Linked DNA regions of Elephas maximus indicus. The protein of the gene in region 1 purifies or fractionates together with the protein of each later gene. This does not show direct contact. Links are inferred from orthologs where the notes say so. Each region holds a gene or a part of one and is shown on either strand. Other genes may lie near its edges.

Region 1 (7,134 bases):
ATAACAACCACATGTGACAGAGTAAAACTGCCCCATAGGGTTTCCAAATCTGTAATCTTTATAGAAGCAGACTGCCACATCTTTCTCCCACATAGCAGCTGGTGGGTTTAAACATCCAGCCTTTTGGTTAGCAGCCAACTGCTTAATCACTGTGCCACCAGGGCTCCTTTCTCAATTGATTATTCTTCTCCATATCACTGGAGAGGAGGCCTGCGTGTGTCCTCGCCTGGATGATGAGGGTCAGGGTACAGTGATGTGAGTGTGACCTGAGACACTTGACCACCAATTCTCAATCCTAATTCCTCCTACCCAGACTCAAATCTGATGAGTTCATTGGGAAATGGTTAGAAAAGGTTAGATTTTATGATAATTCAGTTTTGTAATCAAGGTAATTGATGCTGGTTAAAAGTAGAATACTTTTTCCCTTTAAAATAATTTGTATAAGTTGTATCTTCCATTTCTACCTTCATGGACTTCATCTTCAAGTATTTGGCAAAAGCAATGCTAATAAGTCACTTTGAGGTACAGGGACATCTGGCCTTGAAAAGAAAAGTGTTTCAATATAGGTTTTTAGAAGGGTGAGTGACTGCTTTCCATGCTGGTAAATATCTTAAGTAGAAGCCCTATGGCTGTAAGTTAGATATAAGAAAGAAGTTCCCTAAAATAAAATATTCTTACACTTGTTAAAAAAAAAGACCATTGCCATCAAGTCGATTCCAACTTATAGCAACCCTATAGGACAGAGTAGAACTGCCCCATAGGGTTTCCGAGGCCGTAATCTTTACAGAAGCAGACTGCCACGTCATTCTCCCACATAGTGGCTGGTGGGTTTGAACTGTTGACTTTTTGGTTAGTAGCTGAGTGCTTAACCACTATTCCAATATTAAAAAGAAAAACCTAATCTGTCCTGGATACTATACATTCTACCTGTAACCCATTGCCATCGAGTCGATTCCGACTCATAGCGACCCTATAGGACAGAGTAGAACTGCCCCATAGAGTTTCCAAGGAGCATCTGGTGGATTCGAACGGCCAACTTTTAGGTTAGCAGCTGTAGCACTTAACCACTACACAATCAGGGTTTCCCTGTATGTTCTGCTTGAAGGAAAGGGAAGTACTGAGTTAGGACCTGGAAGAAAACCCAGTCCAAACTGGACTAAGCAAAAAGGGACTTTATTGGCTCAGAGAGCTGGGAATCACAGGAGGTAGCCTCAGGCATAGCTAGATCCAGGAGCATGATGTCCCTAGGACCTGGTCTCTGTCTCTCTTTTATGGGCTGGCTTCATTCTTAGGGGAAGTCTCAGTCTCTCTCAACAGCTCCAGGAAAAGTCTCAGTTGGTTTCTTGGTCCAAAGGGATGGTCCAGAGATGGAGTCAGCTCCAAAAAAGCAAATCAACTGAAAGGAGGGGAAGAGAGATCATTCTCCTAAAGAAAAACTGCTGTCGAGACTGTTCTATTCCCACAAATCCCCTTTTCCCACTCACCAGGAATCCAGGGTCTTCCTCAGGGGCCCACTCTTGCTGGATCAAGCTCAAGGGGGGTGGTTATTTAAATGGCCCAAGGAAACCCAAGCGCAGGAAGAGTAATAGCAGCTCATGAAACAGGGGCCTGCAGCCGCCCTGCCCAGGTGCTCTGTACAATGGTCTCTTTAACTTCTCAAGACTCAACATGACCATCAGACCCAGGTCTACCTGAGAGACCCAAGGGCTCCAAGACCCTCTGTCTCACTTAGGCTCTGGGTTTTTTGTTTTTGTTTTGGTGAAAATATACACAGCAGGACATCCATCAGTTTCTACATGTACAGTTCAATAACATTGGTTATATTCTTCACATTGCGTCACCATTCTTGTTATCTCTACCCGTACTGTTTCACCACCACTAACTTTAGACTCTATTGCATAAACTTCTCATCTTTGCTTTAGAGCCACTGTTGACGATTTGATCTCATATACATAATTCTTTAAAAGAGCACAATGCTCATGTAGAACATTCTTTACTAATTTAGCTATGTAAAGATGTCTTCAGGGGACAATTTCAGTTCATGGTTTGAAGATTTTCTTAGAGTGATAGATTTGGGGGTTGTTCCAGTCTCAATAGGTCCAGTAAGTCTGGATTCTGTAAGAATTTAAAATTCTGTTCCACATTTTCCCCCTTTTGATCAGGATTCATCTATTGATTCCATGATCAAAACATTCAGTAATGGTAGCCAAGCACTATCCAGTTCTGATCTCATGGCTAAGGGGCAGTAGTTCATGGAGGCAGTTAGATCTGCAATCCAGCTCCTTCTCTGATTCCTGGGTCTCTTTCCTTTGCTGCTCCTGGCAGATACAGACCAATTGTTGTATCTTGGATGGCTGCAGTACTCACTGAACTAGGGAGTAGAACAGCAACTCTAAAAACATAATTAGGCCAAATGACTAGAGAGTCCCACAAGGCTCTGGGTTTTTTAGTTAAATTTGCAAGAGAGGAACTGATTGGCTGGGTTTGGGTCAGATGCCTACCCTCAGCTCCATCAGTTGTGGGGGAGGGGCTGAAGGGGATGGAGGTTATTACCTGGTGTAAAAGACTGCCTTCACCTCCTCCCTCCTTCGGGCTGTGGTGGGGAGGAGTCAATGAGTCACAATTCTAGTAAAGTTGAGATTCCAACAGTAGAGCATCCGCTCCTAGCCCGTGTGCGCGAAGCCACCTGGTTTTGCCCTGCCTCTCTGAGGCCCTTTCCTCCCAAACTCTGCCTCACTGCACGGGGTAGGTGACTCAGTGTCTTTCTCCGCCCTCCCCTCTCCTCTCAGAGAGTGAACTGCTGCCTTCGTGTGAGCCCTGTCTACATTCTCTGGGCTGCCCTTTATGAGTTCTCTTCTTCCTCAACACCCTGCCACTTCTAACCCGAGTTGCCAGTTGCCACTTTTCCATTTAATCTGCTGCCTGCTCCAGTTGCCTACTCCTTTCGCTTGTTCCGCAGCTGGCTCTGTAGCCCAACACCTTCCGCCTTCGGGGACGTTTGTTGGCCTAAGCGCATGGCCCGCAGACTCTGCATTCAGCGTGAATCCGTTAATTCTCGAAGCCTGCTCCCGGTAGGCCTCCCGCAGGACGCCGGGGACACTCGGTGGTGAACTAGATGAGCAGCTTGAGTCATCACGCGTTCACAGCTTAGCGAGGACAGCGATGGCCCCACCACACACATGAACCGAGAGCCGCGGTGCAGGGCCAGGCCCGGGGCTGTAAGCGGGCTGCCCGCGATGCGCTCGACTGGCAGGCCGGAATCACCGTTTACTTCGGCGCGTGGTGATACCCAGCTGGGGACGTTCTTGCAAAACGCAACGTTTTTTACTTCTCGGAAAAGGCTTGCGAGCAGCTTTGCTATAGCGGAAAAGTGCTAATTTGCAGTGCAAATTCGGCGCAGAGGGGAGTTTTCTCCGTGATCGTTCCTACTAGCGCAAGGCTCTGCCAATCCCGCGCCTTGTGCAAGCGGGACCCAGACGCCGGAAGCATTGTGTCAGCAGCGCAGAGGAGCAACAGTCCGGGCCGCTACTCTGTATCCACGCCACCTCCGGTTCCCAGTTCCCCAGCCCCGCCTACAACTGTCTCCAGGGGCTCGCAGCCGGCTGTAATACCCCGTGGCCTGAGAGCCACCTCGCCCACCCAGGCTAGGCCCTGTTTCAGCACCATCCGCTACATCAACTCCCGGTGGTCTCCCAGCCCCGAGGCCGAGAGGGAGGCCCAGTAGCCTGAGAATCTTGTATTAGCGCGGGGTCCCCTCGGCACCGTTCAGCTAACCAGACCCCCCTCCCCGAACGCTTCTACCCTGACGGAGGTTCCAGCAATGACTAGCCCTTGCGGGGCCGCCAGGCGTGTCCCTGCGCAGGCACAGATCCGTGCGCACGTCAGTCCCACCCCTCGCTGTCGCCCCGTGCTCGTGCGCACGCAGGCACTCCCCCTCACACACACACGCACACGACCGCGAGCACACTCGGCCGCTCAGGGCGCTTAAGAGCCTAGAAGGGTCAGCGCGCCTGGTGCGAACCGGAGTGGCCCGGAGCAGGGCCCTGGGCGGTGTCCGGGGCGGGCCCTGGGCGGAGCTCGCCCGACTGGGAGCGCAGGGCGGGGGCGGGTCCGCGCCGCCGCCGTCCGCGCTGCCTCCGCCCCCGGTCCGCCGCTCGCTGGGTTCGTCTGCGCCGCAGCCCCCGCCGTAGTCACCACTGAACCCGCTGCTGCCGCCTCTGAGGTAGGCGCAGTGGGAAGGGCAGTCTCTGCCTGCGCCCCATGCCGCCGACCGGGCCCCTGGGTAGCTGAGAGGGAGGACGTGGGAGGAGGAGCGGGCGAGGGCGAGGGGCCCCCGAGCCCGGCCTGAGGGAGGGAGAGGGAGCGGTCCGCTCGGGCCTGGCGGGTCAGCCGCGGACGGAGCAGGCCGCACGGGCGGGTGCCGAGTGGGCCCGGGCGGGGAGCGGGAGGCCGGGGATCCAGAGGCGCCTGCGGCTAGGAACGAAAGCCGCCCGGACATGCGGGCGGAAGGGCACGGGCAGCCGCGTGGAGCCCCGGCCAGCAGCGGGTCTAGGTGACCTTCCTTGACGCCCTCTGGCCCACGATTCTGACAGCCCTGCTCGGGCTGGGGCACGCCCGCCGCCGCCCACGCTGCCCGGGCCAGACCCGCGGCCCTGTGCGGGCCACACTGCCGCCGCAGGGATGAGCCGCAGGTGGTGACTGCGGCCCCGCGCCCCGCACGCTCTGCCCAGTCCACGCCCGAAGGAGCTGCCACCCGGCAGTACGCGCGGGCCAGCGCCTCCCCGGGCGGAACGGGTGCCGGAGAGTCGATTTAGGCCTCAGGGGCTGGACTCGGGTTTAGGCCTCAGAAGAGGAGGCTGTGCGGGGATCGTTGTGGCCCCTGAGGCCTTAGAAGGGATTTCTGGTTCGGTCACTCATTCATTCACCGAACACGGCTGTGTGCATGCAGGGAACTAGGAGCTCGACTTTGGGTTTGAGGCCCGCAGCATAAGTGAGTTGTGCAAGGTCACACAACTGGGAAGAAACCAAGCCTAAGTCTTCTTATCTGTAAAATGGGAGCAGCTATACCTCTCCTTCTTGGGGATTTTGGGAAGAATAAAGTGAGATGATTAAGTTGTAAAACCTTCAGAACCTTGCCAGACTCCAAGAAGGCCTCGGTAAAAACCATGAAACTTAACCAGCTTCAGACTTTTGGGGAAGATCAAGTCCATCCTCCTCAGAGCGCTTTCCTCCACGTGGTGTTCTCCAAAGGGCTCAGAAAATGTAGTCCCTGTTATTTTAAACATTATGGAGGTATTATTAATAACCGTTTGTGTGCAAAGCATTGAGTAACTTTAAGGATAATTCACAAAAAATCTTGTAAGTTTACAGACTGATAAAGTCAGGCTGGGGCAGGAAGTTTGAATGCAGGGGGAGACCCGGCTGCACCCCATGGCCCCATCTTCTTGACCAGCCTCCCCTCTCCAGAGAGGATAGGGAAATGGGCTCTTCCTTTGCCAAGATTTCTGCTCTTTCCTAGGCCAGGGCTGACTCCCCAGGGCCTGCCTTCTTTCTCTCCACTCCAGCTCTGGTCTGACTGAGCTCCTGGGGGGGTCAGGCTTCGACCTGGTGCAGCCTTGTTCTTAGGGCCTGCAGTGGCACCTGGCAGACAGTAGGTGCTTGAGAAGGATCTGTGGGGGTAAGTGCACTATTGCTTTTTTTTCTAAGAGTTGACTCACTGTTATTGACAAAAGGTTAGTTTTATTATTCAGGCATCTGGCACATAGTAGGTGCTCAGGTGTGGAATGATTGAATGGGCATAGGTAGTGACTGCAGGCCCAGACCATAGTCCCGGATCTTGGACATCGTTTTTTGGGCGACACACATCTCACTCACTTCCAGAAAATGGCCTCACTTAGCAGAGTCTCAAAGATTTAAAGATCTACAATGGTATGTACATACAGCCTTGGAGCCGTGAGAGGCAAAAATCACAGTGAAACCTGTGAGAGCCAGAACTGCCATGTTTTTCCAGGTCTCACAAGTTTTCTGCCTTTGACAGGGTATAGGCTTAACACCTTTCTATTGCTCATTTTAGTGGAAAATATTTGCATTTTTCTTTTTTGATAGGTTTCTGCCTTACACAAGTTCCAGCTTTCGCAGGTTTTACTGTATTTCCTATTTTGAAATAACTGCTTGAAGTGCATTATCTTCATTCTGTGACTGTCCAAGTCCAGAAACTTGTTGAACTGGTGTTTCTGGGCTTGAGAGGAGGGTGACATGGGTGAATTGGGATTCTCTGAAAGGCCTTGAACTGGCATCCCTCCCTCTGTAGTGGTGCGTGAGTGGGTGGGTTGATGGCTTCTGCTGGAGGTGCCCTGGGTGAAGCCTATGCCTGACCCCACTGGGAGAGGGAGCTGTTCTCAGTTGATTATTTAGTTTTATCTCTGCAGTTCTAGAATGGGAGTTAGGGTGGGGAGCCATTTATAGACATATTTTACAGATCAGAAACCTGGAGCTCAGGACTTGGGGACCATATGGTGAGGAGGTGCCCGTGGGCCTTTGGTCTGCTGGACACTGGGCAGATGTGGATGAGGAGCTCCAGGCTGGTGGCGATGAAGGCGCTAACCGCTCATTCAGTGCTGCAGAGGCACTGAAGTCCACTTTACCCTTGATGGAATATCCCATGGTATAATGCGTCAGAATCGGCTTGACGGCAACCAACAACAACAAAGTCTTTGTTGATAGTGACTGGGAGGGGAATATCTATGCTGAGAGCCTTCCATAGCCCAACCTCCGACAGTCCTTCTGGGTGCCCACAGGGTCTATGGTCCATGGCCTTTGGTTCCCCAGAGATTCCTGTGGTAGCTGCCAAGGAAAGGTGACCAGTGAGATACTGAGCCTGGCACAGTCAGGGGGGGTGTGTGTAGGGATGAATAGGATTCTAAGCCCTTTACCTAGAATAGGGCTGGGAAGAGACCTGGAAAGCAGTCTGGGCTCAGAACACAGGTGACATGAGCTGTAGGGTCTAATACAAGTCAAGCCACTTTCTGGTGCCTCACTTTCCCAGTATAAATGTGTGATCATCATCATCTTAGCAATTCTTTATTAAGGGCCTGATCAGCACCGTCCTGGGGGCTTGGCATGTGTTCGGTGACA
Region 2 (7,002 bases), on another chromosome or scaffold:
ATGAATTTCTTTAGGGAAAGGATTTCACTCTTTCCTCTGCTTCAGCTCATTTTTTCAAAATACATGGTTGCATATTACACAAACCTTGTATTAAACGTATTAAATTTGTACCTTCTTCAGATGATTTTAAGAAAAAAAATGCAAGCTTTTACTTAGTATCTTCTACTTAATATTTGATTTCATTCTTCACTAGTAAGGATTCCTGGGTGGCACGAGTGGTTTGCATTCTACTGGTACAGTGGTAAAGAGCTGGGCTGCTAATCAAAAGGTCGACAGTTTGAATCCACCACTCACTCCTTGGAAACCCCATGGGGCAGGCCTACTCTGTCCTATAGGGTTGCTATGAGTCGGAATCCACTCGACAGCAATGGGTTTGGTTTTCTGGTTTACTAAAGGCTGGTGGTTCGAACCCACCCAACAGCCCCACAGAAGAAATGCCTGGTGATCGGCTTCCATAAAAATTACAGCCAAGAAAACTCTACGGAACGGTTCTACTCTGTAACACCTGGGTTGCCATGAGTCAGAACTGACTTGACACAATGGGTTTGGTTTTTGTTTTCTTCACTAGTAATATAAATGAAAAATGTGCCTCTCCATCTGTATTCCCTCTCTCAATTAACAGCACTAACATATGCCCAATTCCTCACCCAAGCCAGACATCAGTATGGTCAGAGTAGATTCCTTCTTCTCCACATTAAATTTAGCACTAAATCTATGCTGCCTTCTTAGTAACTCTTATCCAATCCCTCTGTTCAATCCCATAGCCTCTGACCTGATTTCAACATCATATCTTGCTTAGTTTCCAAAGCTTCAGTCACCCAACAATAATTAACACAATTTTTGCCTCGTCTGTGCACTGTGAGAGTCATACTTACTTCTTAAATTTATCTTAAGAGAAAACTTACTATCAGTCTCATAAATAAAAAGCCAGGGTAATACTCCATACATTAAAAAAATTCAATAAAATGAAAACAAAATGCCATTAAATTCTAGAATTAATGTTATTAAACTTTGAAACCCAAGGGAGTTGGGAAGGGAAGGGGAAGAACACCTTGGCTCTACTCTTCCTCCCCCTAAATCTTCCACTACTATGGGATATAGAAGATAGGGGAGGGAGCCTGTCGGGGCCAACTTGCCTTCCCCCAGGTTGTCATCAAGGGTAGAAAATGGCAATGACTAGTTCTAAGGGCATATAGGCCCAAAACCACAACAAGAACCTTACTCTGAAAGTTGGTAACTAAAGGAAGAATTATGCATCTAGCCTGCCTTTTCCATAGGACTGTATTTCGGGATAACATTATAAAGATAACCAAATATCACCTAAAACACAATATAAGTAAATAAATAAAGTTAACCAAATAGCCCTACAACCAAAACCAAACCAAACTCCTTGCTGTTGAGTAGATTCCCTAGTTGATGAGAAACTCATTTCACAAAAGAACATCAGCTAGTAATGAATGTACAAAGAATAATGGAATTAGAAAAATAATTATTCCTAACGAAATAAGTGACTTAGGCATGGATACTAAAAAAAAAAAAAAAAGTACAGCCGTCCAGTCAATTCCGACTCATAGCAACCCTGTAGGACAGAGTAGAAGTGCCCCATAGGGTTTCCAAGGCTGTAAATCCTAAGAGAAGCAGAATACCACATCACTCTCCTGCAGAGTGGCTGGTGGGTTCCAACCGCCAACCTTTTGGTCAGCAGCTGAGTGCTTTAACCACTGTACCACCAGGGCTCCTTAAGGATGCTAAAACACATATGTATATATAGAGTTGACGGCAAACTAGATATATTGGCATGATTCCAAAGTATTACCCCACTAATACTTGCTCTCACAAGGAGGAAACCATTACTTTATAACATTAAAGACTGTCATCTTTACTCTATAATCTTAGCACTATGAGACGTTATGGACTTCTTTATATGATTCATTATGGAATACACAGGATTATCCATGAAATATTCTTCCCCAAAGTGTTTAACTTGAATCTAATCAAGCCTTCAGATTTAAGTTCCAATTTACAGGAACTATAGGAAACCCTGGTGGCATAGTGGTTAAATGCTACGGCTGCTAATGAAAAGGTGGGCAGTTCGAATCTGCTAGGTGCTCCTTGGAAGCTCTATGGGGCAGTTCTACTCTGTCCTACAGAGGAGCTACGAGTCAGAATCGACTCGACTGCAGTGGGTGTGTTTTTTTTTTCTTTCTTTTTCATAGGAAACCCTGGTGGCATAATGGTTAAGAGTTATGGCTGCTAACCAAAAAGTCAGCAGTTCGAATCCACCAGGTGCTCCTTGGAAACCATATGGGGCAGTTCTACTCTGTCCTATAGGGTTGCTATGAGTTGGAACCAACTCGACGGCATTGGCTTTGGTTTTGGGTTTTGGTATGACAATAATAACCAAAATTGATTTGTGGCTTTTGATTGGATACTGTTGTTGTCAGGTGCCATGGAGTCGGTTCCAACTCATAGTGACCCTATGTACAACAGAACAATCGGATATTAGTTTTTTTGGGGAAAAAAACAACTTTAAAAAATATTTGAGAGGCAACTGAGGAAATATAAATATGGAATGTGTATTAGATTATATAAAGGAATTTCTATTAATTTTGTTCTGTACGATGACATATGGTGGTTACGTAGAAAAAATTCCTGCTATTTTAGAGATGTATAGTTAAGTATTTGGAGCCCTGGTGGTGCACTGGTTAAGAGCTATGGCTGCTATCCAAGAAGTCGGCAGTTGAAATCCACCAGTTGCTCCTGGAAACCCTAGGGGCAGTTCTACTCTGTCCTATAGGGTCGCTATGAGTCAGAATCGACGTGATGGCAACAGGCCTGGGGTATACTTAAGTATTTAGAGGTGAAATATCCTGATATTTGTAACTTATATACTTTAAAACATTACAGAGATAAGGAAATATATTTAAAATGTTAAATCTGAGTAATGGATATATGGATACTCATTATACTAGTTTCTGTTTTCTGTGACAATTTAATCTTGATTTAAATAGTTAGAACTAAAGAGAAACAAAAGTGAATAGAATAGAAAACGGGCAAAGAGAATTTAAGTAACTTGCCCAAGATCACGCAGCTAGTAAGGGGCGCAGCTAGACAGTTTGACTCTTAACCACAATATTATCCTGGGCTTGGTACACTGTAGGTGCTCAATAAACGCTTGTTAAATAAGTAGCATGGAAGAGTTTAGTGTTCCTTTTTCACCTAATCACGAAAAGAGGTGTGAATCCCAAATACTCTGTTTCTCTTAAGAGCCATGTCAAGTCAGAATTGTTATCGCCAGAACGTCTGGCACTGCACTATTCACACTCTGGTTTTAAGACAGCTTGAGTAAGATCGCTTCCTCGAGAACTGCAAAACCTTTTCCTATTTCTTTTTGGAGTGGATTGGGGAGGAATAAGGTGTCAAAGACCACTGGTTTCCTGGTGGGACTGGGGGCTGAAAGAAAGGATGGCTCTACTAAGTACCTGACTCGCCCTATGCAGACTCCAGAAACACCGTCTTCCGGAGCTGCCTGACTGGGTATCTGAAATCCATCCCCTTAACGCCCAGAGTCCGGGACTTGAACCCAGTTTTCCAGAGAAGCCCTCCTTGTGCGAAGACAGGGCGTGGGCACTGGGAAGATGGAGCCATCCGGGCCCTCTTACCTCATCCCGGCACTGTTTCTGGCACATCTGACAATACCAGCGAAGCTTCTGAAGCCCCTTGGATTTGATCCTGTTGGAGATGGCCTTGGGGGTAAGAAAATCCGACTTCCCCATCGCGACGACACACACAGTAACTTTTAAGCCCAGAGCCTAACCAACCGGAAGCGGAACGGACTGGCGGAAGTGGGCGGGAGAAACAGTGAAGGTAGCTGAGCGACGGAAGGAGGTGGGCGCTTAAAAGGCTGGCTACCAAAGCTCGCGAGTTTTCCCTCCGTCTGGCGGGAGGAAGCGAGACTGAAGGAGAAAGGGAGATTGGGGGCGGCCACTTGGGAAGCTTCCGCGCACGCGTAGTGAGTCTGTTTGACCGACCTTCAGTAAAGCCGGTACCGCCATGTTCTCTCGGGCTACCCTCGTTGGGGTCTCGGCCTGGGCTTTGCAGCCGCAATGGTATGACAGCTTGCGGTAGGAACGGGAGAATTAGGATGGATGGAAGAGCTCGGTCAGGTGGGAAGAAGGCATTGGAGGCGTGTAGGACGGGCCAGGGGGCTCAGGTCTGGACTAGGCCTCCTTTTTGCTGCAGAGGCCCGGCGAAACTGGGGCTGCAGGAAGCGCTTTAGAACGGGGAAGGGCGCGCGGAGAGGCTGGACACGGCGAGTCAGTGCAAGGTCACGCCAAGTCTCCTGAGGCTTGTCGGGGCGGGGTGACGGGCAAAAGGAGTGGTAATCTTGGATCTCGGGATGGAGACTTTAGTCTAAAGTAATTTCAGGACGTTCTTGAATTCATTCATCTAAGAAATGATTATTGAGTGCTACTACTTGCCAGGCAACTAGTATCGTAGAGTCCTTAGCAAAGCTCACAAGGTAGAGGTAGGGCATAACTGAGAAAAAGCCTAGGGGCAGTTGTGCTTTATGTCCTTGACGCCTTTTGAAACCTCCCAGTGCTGGGCAGAGTTTGAAGTGCGCCAGTGCAGAGCAACAAAACCAAACCAACCCTGTTGCCCTCGAGTCGATTCCGACTCATAACGACCCTGTAGGACAGGGTAGAATTCCCCCATAGGGCTTCCAAGGAGCGGCTGGTGGATTCGTAGTGCTAACCTTTTGTTTAGCAGCCGAGCTCTTAACCGCTCTGCGACCAGTGCTCCAATACAGAGCACAGTAAACCTCTTAAGTTCCATTCAGCCAGAATATTTATTAAGCGCCTACTGTTTGTATTTACTAGACGTTCTGATGGGCACTGAAGAAACGAAGGTGAATTGAAAAAATGCAGTCATGGGCTGATGGTAGTTTTGATGCAGAAGGGACCTTAAAGATCTGTCTGTGCAAGGAGAAGGGAAGGACACCTCGTACTATCATGAAACCATTATGCTGCAGTAGTGACCCTGCAAGGTCATGAAATTGCCCCAAAGAGCAGGAGATAGATGCCATCTGTTAACTGCCATGCAGGTAAAGGGTGCAACAAGTTTGAAGGATTTTAAAGATTGGTTTGAGGAATTTCTGACATAGTACTAAAGGAATTATTACCTATAGGCGTGTCATAGCAATTCCTTGGTTTTATAGTATGGGAGATTTGTAAGGAACTAAATTAGGTTTTCGTGAAAGCATTAATTGAAATAGATACATTTTTCATTAAGCAAAGAATTCATAACAATATATAAGACTTTCAGAGGAATGAGGTAATTAAATCTAAAGTGAAATAGCTACATAAAATTTTTGGTGGACTTCCATTGGAAGTCAAATTTTTTTTTTCTAAACTTGAAACAGAATTATGGGAATCAAGTCACTGTAGCTGAGTTCTTAGGTGTTTAGGTTGTCCTGTTTGTTAGTCACTCAGCAGACAGTTGTTGAGTGCCTGGTCTGCATCAAGTTGCACTGTGATAAGCCCTAAAATGTGATGATGAACAAATAGCCATAGTCTCACTGAGTTTCGTGGTACTTGAGAGCATAATTTCTGGCACACAGTGGTGCTCAACAGACGTCAACTGTCCTCTCATTTTGCTGTGCACCAATGTTATCTGTCACAGTACTTTTAGAACTTTCAGTAGCACCCAAGTTGATCTTTAAAAAGCGGAAAGTTTTCGCAGCCAGCACAAAATATTTTACATCAAATTTTAGAAATAAAAAAATGAACACCTCTAAAACAATTTGAAGTTCTTTTAATAAAAGATTGTTTTAAATGAGAGTGCTAATCTGAGACAACTACTACTAGGGGCCTAAGTTGGAACCTCAGTCAGCAAATAAAAGTCATAGTCTTGACCTTAATCCCTTTAGAACGTCAGTTTTAAATTGGAACGTTGGTGCTCCGGTATGCTAAGCATAGCCTTTCCACTTCCTTTCTGGGTTGATATCTGGTTGCTCTGTCCTGTGTTCTAGTCTTGGGTTGTCCTCTTCCTTGTCACGTAATTCCATCATTCTTGGTGCCTAATGTGTTTCCTGCCTCTTCCACCGTTTCTCTGCCTGTTAATATTTTTTAAACTCGGAAATTAAAACCATCTTAATGTTTCACACTCCACAGAACTAAGTTGGCGAGGGGTATAAAAACCTTTGCCTTTACAGATCCCTGAGAAGGCATTTCCTCAGTTTTGTTTAGATTACTGAACATTTTTTTCCTTTTTTAATTTTTACTGTCTTTAAGTGAAACTTTACAAATCAAGTCAGTCTCATATAAAAATTTATATACACCTTGCTATGTACTCTGGTTGCTATCCCCCTAATGAGACAGCACACTCTTTCTCTCCAGCCCCTATTTCTGTGTCCATTCAGCCAGCTTCTGTCCCCCCTGCCTTCTCATCTCCCCTCCAGACAGGAGCTGCCCACATAGCCTCATGTGTCTACTTGATCCAAGAAGCTCAGTCCTCACCAGTATCATTTTCTGTCCTATAGTCTAGTCCAGTTCCTCTCTGAAGAGTTGGCTTTGGGAATGGTTCCTGTCTTTGGCTAACAGAAGGTCTGGGGACCATGACCTCCTGGGTCCTTCTAGTCTCAGTCAGACCATTAAGTCTGGGCTTTTTACAAGAATTCGAGGTCTGCATCCCACTGCTCTCCTGCTCCTTCAGAGTTTCTCTGTTGTGTTCCCTGTCAGGGCAGACATCAGTTGTAGCCGGGCATTATCTAGTTCTTCTGGTCTCAGGCTGATGGAATCTCTGGTTTATATGGCCCTTTCTGTCTCTTGGGCTCGTAATTACCTTGTGTCTTTGGCGTTCTTCATTCTTCTTTGCTCCAGGTGGGTTGAAAACAATTGATGCGTCTTAGATGGCCGCTTGCTAGCGTTTAAAGCCCCAGACACCACTCTCCCAAGTAGGATGCAGAATGTTTTCTTAATAGATTTTATTATGCCAGTTGAC

The links. The genes of interacting proteins can lie anywhere in the genome.
Region 2: the proteins of VDAC1 (region 1) and ATP5F1C fractionate together in Homo sapiens (co-fractionation; 3 studies listed by BioGRID, with this or other methods). This does not show direct contact. The link is inferred for Elephas maximus indicus from reciprocal best matches to the Homo sapiens genes VDAC1 and ATP5F1C.

What each region holds. Positions count from the first base shown.
Region 1 is NC_064820.1:146,391,132-146,398,265, reverse strand, and holds the start of VDAC1 (voltage-dependent anion-selective channel protein 1), read left to right. Parts: upstream 1-4,113; 5' UTR 4,114-4,222; intron 4,223-7,134. UniProt on the Homo sapiens protein: Non-selective voltage-gated ion channel that mediates the transport of anions and cations through the mitochondrion outer membrane and plasma membrane.
Region 2 is NC_064822.1:50,562,037-50,569,038, reverse strand, and holds the start of ATP5F1C (ATP synthase subunit gamma, mitochondrial), read left to right. Parts: upstream 1-3,996; 5' UTR 3,997-4,053; coding exon 4,054-4,109; exon of another isoform or gene 4,110-4,166; intron 4,167-4,880; exon of another isoform or gene 4,881-5,104; intron 5,105-7,002. Other genes in the region: KIN (DNA/RNA-binding protein KIN17), read right to left, coding at 3,663-3,776.